2 linked regions of the Caenorhabditis elegans genome follow. The protein of the gene in region 1 interacts with the protein of each later gene in a pairwise test. Each region holds a gene or a part of one and is shown on either strand. Other genes may lie near its edges.

Region 1 (3,600 bases):
TTTTTTTCAAGTTTCAGCCGATAGCGACGAAGAAGAATGGTCCGATGACAGCTGGGAGTTTGCATACAACTGCAAGTAAATTGTGAGTTTTTCAGGATTGTGTGCACGTTTTTTTGTTAAAAACTTTAAATTTTTTTATAATTTCAGACTGGGTTAACAATTGCTAATTTTGTTTTGCCGTGCCAGGCCGTGTTAAGTGATCTCCCTATTTCATCACATCTGCTAATTTAGTTTTTGAATAGTTTTTTTGTTGTTCCCCATTTAATGTTATTTTCCCTTTAGTTTATAATTTTTAATAAGTTTTTAAAAATATTACAAAAATAAAATCAAAATAAGCCTAGAAATTTATGATCTACAGTAGTTTGTTGTGCAAAGTTGCTAGTGTGCCTGAGATTTTGAGATACTGTAGCTGGCTGCAAACTTTTAAATTTGAATTTTTGCGCGCGCGAATTTTCGGATTTTTAGTTATAACTAGTTTTTCCTTCGTTCTTATCGGTTTCTTTTGATTTTTCTTCGATTTTTCGGTTAAAAATCTTCAATTTTTCGGTTTAAAATGTCTCTTTCATGTTAAAATTAAAATATATTTATTAGTTTTGTTTCAGACCAGAATGGCCGACGAGGAGGATCCGTGCGGCGGTGGGAAGAAAAACCCTCGGAAACGATGCCAACCAGATGTGGATCCAGAAGAGGATAGTGAACCAGATTTGGACGGGCCACAGCCACCGTTTCGAGGACGCAGCAGCACTGTCACCGACGCCGTTCGACAAACGGCCATGGAATTTCGAAAGCGTGCACGAAGTGACGAATTCCGTCCGGCTCAGCAACCTGAACAGAGTGTCGTTGCCGTGAAGCCACCGACGACGTCGGCGCCAGTTACACCATTTCCTGCTAACCTTCCAGTCAGCGAGCAACTCGAAGACTTGAGTCTCCTGCCCGGTGTACGTAGAGTACGGCCACTTCCAAGAAGCAGATATCCGGTTGCAAATGATCCATTTGATAAATTCAGCGCGTATTCCGGTCCTGGCTCGAGTCAGCAAGCGGTTCCACGGACTATCAGCAAAATCAGTGAAGAATCTGGAAGTGGAAGTGGAAGTGGAAGTGGAAATGATAGTAGTGGAAGTAGTGGACCCACGAGGATGAGCGGTCAAGGTAAATATTTACGTAAATTCTATTTTTCCGGGGGTTTTAGAATTAATTTTCTTTTTCCAAAAAAAAAAAAAATTTCAGTTCCATCAACGTCCGGCCCACCACCACCACGACCACCGCCTGCTGGTCATCAAAATCCATTTCTGGGCAATCAACCGTCCACCTCAAACACGTCGGAGCCAAGCACATCCACGCAAGGCGTCTCCCCGTCTCGTACATCAAAAATTTCGAAAAAGAAGGCTCATCAGGCTGGGCTTCACTCGAAGGGCAGCTCTGAGGACTCTACCGACTCGGGAGAATCGAAACCATCGAGCAAGCAGCCACCGAAGAAGAGTCCAAAGTCCAACAAAAATGGTAAAGAAAATGGAAAAATGATATTTTTATCGCTGATTTTTTTCAGATCCAAACGCTCCTGGACCTTCGCGTAGACGTGATGACGACGACGATGGGGTGCAAGGTGGAAGCTCTGAAGGCTCATCTGAATCTCTTTAATTCTTGTATTTCTAACATTACATTCTTCTGTGCTATTCAACTTATTATTGTTTATTTTATTTTCTCTCATTCCTCACCGACTAAATGACATTCGTGTATATATAAACACTTCTGTGTGATTTTTTTTTCGTCGCTTGATTTCGCTGATTAAAGAATTTATTAATTTTCTTTTGACCTCAAGAGTTGTTGCTCTTTAAATTAATATCTTCAATTTTTGTGCCAAAATTTTGTTTTTGTTTTATGTAATGTAGCTCAATTTTCAGTGTGACCTTCTTCACCTCAGCAGCCATTATGTATTCTCATCCAGCACTGCTACAGGTGATTTCTCCTAGTTAGACCAATTTTTAAATTAAAAAATTGAAATTTACAGTTCCCTCTAATGTCCACCGACGCCTTCTACTCGACCGCTTTTCCAACAATCCCGGGAACTCCGAATCTTTTGGGATACACTGCGTACAGTCCACAGGTGCGCGGAAATCGCCGGCGAGCAATTCTAAAAAGCTTGTATTTCAGTAAAGCAATTGAAAAATTGCCTGAAAGTTAAAAAATTACAGGGTTTTTCGACACTTTCCGACAATATTTGAGCGTTTTCCAAGTGCTTCAGCTGAAATAAAAGCTATTTCCAGATAAACCAAATTTTTTTTTGTTCTTTCACTAAATTTGACTAGATTTTTTTCTTAATTTTAATATATTTTTCCAGTCGATCTTCAATGATTCCCGGCCGGCTTCTTCGGTAAATAACACTCCATCCACATCGTTCAATAGCTCAATTCATTCCAGAAATCGGTCGATTGCAATGGTTCGTTATAACAAATATTCGCTTTTTTACATTTCAATGCATATTTTCAGCTCCATTCAATATCGCACATCCTTTCCAATGACGACTCGCTGGGCTCGACAACGGAGAGCAGTACACCGAGCACGCCGGAAATTCATCCGAGCAATGCACCTGCAAAGGTTGGTTTCGACTCCTGGAAAGTTAAATTTTAGAAATATTATTTTTTTTTGCAGAAGACGATTCCACTTGTGTTGATATCGGATACCGATGAGGAATGTGACAAGAAAAGCAGAAAACGGAGGATTCGCTCGAAATCTTCGAAGAAGTCTCGCGGGATCCGTAAGAGCAGGAAACACGAAGCATCAGACTACCGAAAGAAGATTATGCTGGGAACTTTTGAAGGCAGAAAAATCGTGCTGAAGCTGATGAAATAATTTTAACACCCTCACCCCCTCATATGCATCCTACAAAGCTGAATAGTCGCTTATTTTTTATGTATATCGTTTATTTATTTTTAGTTTATTATTGACTCTGTTAACCCCAATATAAGCTGGATATTTATAGTTTAAACGTCAAATTCAAATAAAATTAACTTTTTAATGAAAAGAGATTTCTTTCGAGAAAGTTAAAATAAATAGGTGACAAACAAATGAAAAGAATACACTTGGAATGATAGAAAGCTAAAAATAATTAGAAAATATGAAAGATCATTCATCATCGGGAATCTCTTCCTTGACAACAACGCCCGTACTGGATTCCTCATCTTCGTGTCGAGATCTGGAGCTCTTCTCTTTTCTCTCTTTCCGACCGCTGCTGCTCTCCTCTTCCTCATCACCACGACGACTTCTCTTCTTCCGATCTTCATCATCTCCACGCCGTTCTCTCCGTTTCTCTCGTTCCCGATCATCTCGCTTTCTGCGCCGATCTCCAGACGCACTTCGGCTTCTATGTCTTCTGGAAGACGTGCGATCCGATTCTCGTTCTCCACGGCGTCTCGTCTCTCGATCTCTCCTGTCCCTGTCTCTATCTCTATGTGGGCTCCTTGATCGGGATCGCTTCCGTCGGGAGCTTCTTCTCTCCTCATCGTCATCACTAACCGTCGAAAATGCACCAGATCCCATGAGACTTCGCGGAGCTGAAGCAGCGCCAACTGGTCCAGGTCCGAAGCCAGCTCTCGAGTGTTG
Region 2 (5,206 bases), on another chromosome or scaffold:
GTTGAATTTGGCATCTGCATTTGAAGCCCGAATACCTCCAAGACGTCTTTCCAACTCTTCCCACAAATGCTCTATTGGATTCAAGTCCGGAGACTGACTTGGCCAATCGAGCAAATGCACACGACGACGTTGAAACCAGGAACGCACATGAAGAGAAGTATGCTTAGGATCGTTATCCTGCTGAAACACGAAGCCACGGCCCACATTTTGAAGTGCCCAGGGTCGCATTGTAGTTTCCAAGATGTTTTCGTATTGAAAACGATCCATAATGCTTTGGATTCTCCTTAGTGGGCCCATGGAAGTGCTGGTGAAGCACCCCCACACCATGACGCTCCCACCTCCATGCTTAACGGTTGGGCATTGATACTTTGGAGAGTACCTAGAGCCAACAGGACGACGTACCCAGGAATTTCCATCACTCCCGAACAAATTGAACTTGCTTTCGTCAGACCAGATGCGCTTTTGCCCACGCAACTCGAGCCATGCGATTTTTCTTACTGATGAACGGTTTCTTGACTGGCTTTCGTCCGTGTAGTCCTGCTTGCTGTAAACGTCGACGAACAGTTCGTTTACTTGGTACAGGTTCATTTGGAGAACTTATAATCATTTGAATATCCGTGGCGGTCCTATGCGGATCTTCTCTTGCTGATCGGAGGATGTTGCGATCCATCCTATGGGTTGTCACTCGAGGCCTGCCGGGCGAGATTCTCAAAGCGACGGATTTCTAAACATTTATTATTAAAAAATAATATTTTTCGAACTCACCTCAGTTTGGTACTTCTTGATTACTTTCCAAATAGTCGACGGAGAACGTTGAATTTGCAGCGCGAGCATTTTCGTGGGTATTCCTTGTTCGAAGCCAGCTACAATGGCTTTCTTGACGTCCAAGGAAAGATTTTTACACCCAACAGATTTTACCATACCTTAAAAATAATTTATCAACCAAACAAATCCAGAGCAACAAACAGAGTGCGTTTTATTGATAATTCAAAAAAAATAATGAAAATTGGAAAAACGAAAAAATCAAAAAATTGAAATAAAATTCAGAAAAAATCGATAATCATGTAATGTTTGGTCCGCAAATTTGCGTAACATTTCGCTTTATGCACACGGAAAAATTCAAGTCAAATGGATGCTTGAGAAAAAAGTTACACACAAAAAACCAAAAGTGGATATCTTTTTGGCCAGCACTGTACGTTGACCGCAGTTAACATAACCGTATTTTCTCCCTCATTTTCTCCTATTTTCCCCCTAATTTCCCCTTTTTTTCTTTTTTTCTAGGAGTCGTCGCCGCTTTGCTGAAATCTTGCTTAAATCTATAAAAACAGACCACAATTTAGTGATTTTGTCCGTTTTGCATTTTCAGTAGGTGACCCTAGTTTGGAAATTTTGAATTTTACCATTTGAAGAGGTATTAGGTTGGGAGTTGGTGGGTGATAAGGGAGAGGTACTTTGTTATACTGTATTATTAGTATTATTAGTAAGAGTACTGTAGGATTTGTGTAGTTTGGGGAAATTTGAATTTTTTGCTATTATTAGGATAGGGCTGGTTTTCAGGCGAGTTACACGGGTTTAAAGTTGATGGCCTAGAAATCTTAAGGCCACCAATTTTTAGAATTTATCGATTTTAGTAGATTTGAGACATGTTTTCGATTTTGTCTGTTTTTCGGAATTTGAAGAAAATTTCCCTCTGAAAAAATCGATAATTTTTGAATTCCGGAGTTGTTAGTCGAAATCTCTCGAATTTGCGCTGTTTTCTGTCGATTCTCAGAGATTAAGGGTCCAATAAAATTATGTTGGCATGTTTTTTATTAGCAGTGTGTTCTGCCGAAATTTAATGAAAAATAGTTTTTCCGGCTTTTTTTAAAATAATATTTGTGTTTTTTTCGACGATAATTACCAATTTTCTTTGAATTTTCAAGGTTTTTTCTGTAGTTTTTACTTGTTTATCTTGTATTTCCAATTTATTTCAGTATTTCCTCAGTGGCGTCTTCAGTGGATTTCTTTTTTCGCGAAGAAGATCCCGAAAATTTGCAATTCCCACTAAAAGGACTACTGTAGTCAATACATTGTGTGACACCGCCACGCGAAAGCGCACAGTTTCCCACGCTTTTGCCGTGGGAATTTCCAATTTTCCCACGGTGATTTTAGCATATAAGAGGAGAAAAATGGGTCAATTTCCATTTATTTTTCGACGAAAATGTAAGTTTTTTCGATTTTTTATCAAATTTTGTTGGTTTTCTTGAGAATTTAGTGAAAAATATTGACTTTTAGATTAAATTTTAAATTTTGTCGGAAATTTTCAAATTTTTTGCATAACTTCCATGGAGTTAGAGTTTAATTGAATAAGTTTTTGTTCAAAAAATAAAAAAATTATGCCCAAAATTTATTTATCACTAAAACAAATTTTCGAAAAAAAATTTTTTTTTTGATCTACCCGCCGATTTTCTAATTTTTCTCCTTTTTTTCAGCGATCATCGAACCATTGTCATCACGCCACGTGCATAATGCCATTCCATTATCCAAAACTCTACATGGATCACCGCGGAAACATGTCCACCTCATCGTCTCTGACGTCATCGACAACCGCCACGTCATCATCGTCAACCGGAGGCGTCCGCAAGCAGATTCTCACGTTGAAGCCAAAGCAACCGAATGGTTATGTGCAACACTTGGAGATCAAGGCAAAGGTATAGATTTTTGTTTTAAAAATCATTTTTTTGAACCCTAAAATTGATTTTTTCTCTTTAAAAAGTTGGATTTTTCCAATAAAACTGTTTAAAAAAAGCTTTCAAAACCGAAAATTCGTGCTCAGCACCCTCGAAAACCCAAAAATCCCGCAAAAATCGATAATTTTCTCTTAATTTTGAAAAATTGGTCGAGTGGCGTAGTGGGATTTTCCACAACCTGCCACCAATCACAAGAACAGTGTTCGAGTCCCCACTGTGGCAACTTTTTTTTTGTTTAAGCTTTGTTTAAGCTGTTTAAGCGAAAGCTTTAACACATGCGGACATCAAAAATTTGACTGAAATTTCAGATTTTTCCCAGTTTTTACTCAAAAAATGTAATTTTTGAGCTTTTTTAACCGAATTTTCGGCTTAAAGCCTGATTTTCGCAGTCCCAAGCCCTTTTAGAACAATGCTTCAAAAAACAAAAAGATTTTGCCACAGTGGGGACTCGAACCCCGGTCTCGTGGCAGTGGCAGCCGACGAAAATCCCACTGAGCCATTTGGGCACTTTTTTGAAAAATCCTCAAAATAGCGGAAGTTATCGATTTTTAAGCCAAACAAATAGCTCTGGGTTCGATTTTTCCATTAAAAATTATCGATTTTTTCAGGAATCAAGCCAATCTTCGGTGATTTCCGGCGGTGTCCCGGTTCCGGTGACCCTGTTGGAGTTGAAGAAGAAGGATCGTAGCGAGAAGAATGTGGTGACCAACCTGAAGTATCGTAAGCCAACGGCGAATCATCATCTCGATTCGGTGCATTCTTCGTCGGAGCACCATCACCACCACCATCTGAGCCTGAGCTCTTTGACGCGCCGCCCGGGATCTCCGTCCTCGTCCGGTTACGAGACTGACTCGCTCGTCGATCAGGAGAATTGCGACGTTTTTTCGGTAAATTTAAAAAATTTCAAATTTGAGAAAATCCAGAAAAAAAAACGGAAATTTTGAACCAAAATTGACTTTTTTTTTTTTGCTCAATTTTTCCACTAAAAGTGAACTTTTTCATCTTTAAACTACTTAAAAATCAGCCTTCAACAATTTTTCTCATCAAATTCCGGTTTCTCTTTCCAAAAATCCAGATTTCTGCGAAAAATGTCCATATGGCGCAGTGGGATTTCCCATGTGCCTGCCAATTTTAAGACCCGGGTTCGTGTCCCCACTGTGGCAACTTTTTTTTTCGAAGTGCGATTAGGTTAATTTTAGTGTCCTGAGCTCGAAAATCTTTGATAAATTTATTTTTCCTCGCGGAAAACATGGGAAAAAATTTGAAAAACTTCGAAAATCCCTAAATTTTCGATTAATACCGATTCCCCATGACATCTGAGCACACTGTAAAACCTAATCGCAACGAAACAAAAAATTTTGATACGACGGGGAGTCGAACCCCGGTCTTGAGATTGGAAGCCGACGAAAATCCCACTGCGCCATTTGGACATTTTGCTGCAAACTGCCAGAAATCTAAATTTTAATGCTTTTTTCATAGTTTCAAGTGTTCAAAAAGCAGTTTTCAGTAGCTTTTTTTTATTTTTTCAATTAAAAAATTCAAATTTCCCTCCATTTTCAGAGTCTCTTCAACTCGTCGCTCAGCTACCAATCGGCTCTCGACCATCATCATCAGTTTCACGAGCTCGACATGCTTCACTCGCATCCGATTTGGTCTCCACAGTTACCGAACAACAACACTTCACTGATGATGGGCTCCAACAGCTATTATTTGCAGTAGAGCGTACTTGCTCTTTTAAATTTTCTAATCCCCCCCCCCCCCTAAAATCCCACCCCACGCCTAATTCTTTAACTAATAAGAATTATCAATTTTTTTGGTTTTCTTTCTGTGTAATAAACTCCGCCCCCCTATTTCTAGCCCCACCCCTTTATCTCTCATTTTTCTAATAATTCTTTGTTCAATCCCATCATTCTTACCCCAACTTCTGTTTCAGCTCCCCCCAATTCCTCCTAATTATTCTAATTTATTACAAGCTCCTCCCATCTCCAACCCTCCGTGCTTGCGAAAATAAACGTTTTATAAGTAAAAAATTGTGTTTTTTTTCTGAAATTTTTCGAAAAAATAGGTTTTCGACTCGGGAAGTACTTTACTAGTTATGGCAAATCGAATGAAAAGCTGAAAAAAATTTTTGCCACAGCGCGAGCTTGAACCCCGGTCTTGTGATTGGTGGGCGACGAGAATCTCACTGCGCCAATCGGACACAAAAGTGCTGTAATAATCGATTTTCGGTTGAAATTACTGTTTTTTACCACTTTCTAGACGATTTCCTTTCTTTTCTGTGTATTTTTTTTTTAATTTTTCTAGTAGGAAAATTGAATTTTAAGCGATTAATAAAGAAAAAAAATCAATTTTCAAGAGAGATTTTTGGAATTCAAGCATTTTTATTAAATTTAAAATCTTTTTTCTTAATTTCTACCTATTTTAGTTTATTTCTCCCATTTATTCCCTTTTGTTTCCATCCAAAACCCACAATTTCC

What was found.
Region 2: the proteins of neg-1 (region 1) and sygl-1 interact in a two-hybrid assay, tested with the Caenorhabditis elegans proteins (one large-scale study listed by BioGRID).

Annotation. Positions count from the first base shown.
Region 1 is NC_003283.11:4,373,176-4,376,775, reverse strand, and holds neg-1 (Negative Effect on Gut development), read left to right. Parts: upstream 1-1,901; 5' UTR 1,902-1,929; coding exon 1,930-1,956; intron 1,957-2,008; coding exon 2,009-2,104; intron 2,105-2,338; coding exon 2,339-2,437; intron 2,438-2,487; coding exon 2,488-2,595; intron 2,596-2,649; coding exon 2,650-2,850; 3' UTR 2,851-3,014; downstream 3,015-3,600. Other genes in the region: F32D1.8 (BSD domain-containing protein), read left to right, coding at 18-79; F32D1.7 (Protein lilliputian), read left to right, coding at 609-1,149, 1,228-1,500, 1,547-1,638; fipp-1 (Pre-mRNA polyadenylation factor Fip1 domain-containing protein), read right to left, coding at 3,124-3,600.
Region 2 is NC_003279.8:12,481,710-12,486,915, forward strand, and holds sygl-1 (Ecdysone-induced protein 74EF), read left to right. Parts: upstream 1-2,099; 5' UTR 2,100-2,202; intron 2,203-2,471; 5' UTR 2,472-2,507; coding exon 2,508-2,690; intron 2,691-3,337; coding exon 3,338-3,616; intron 3,617-4,289; coding exon 4,290-4,448; 3' UTR 4,449-4,526; downstream 4,527-5,206.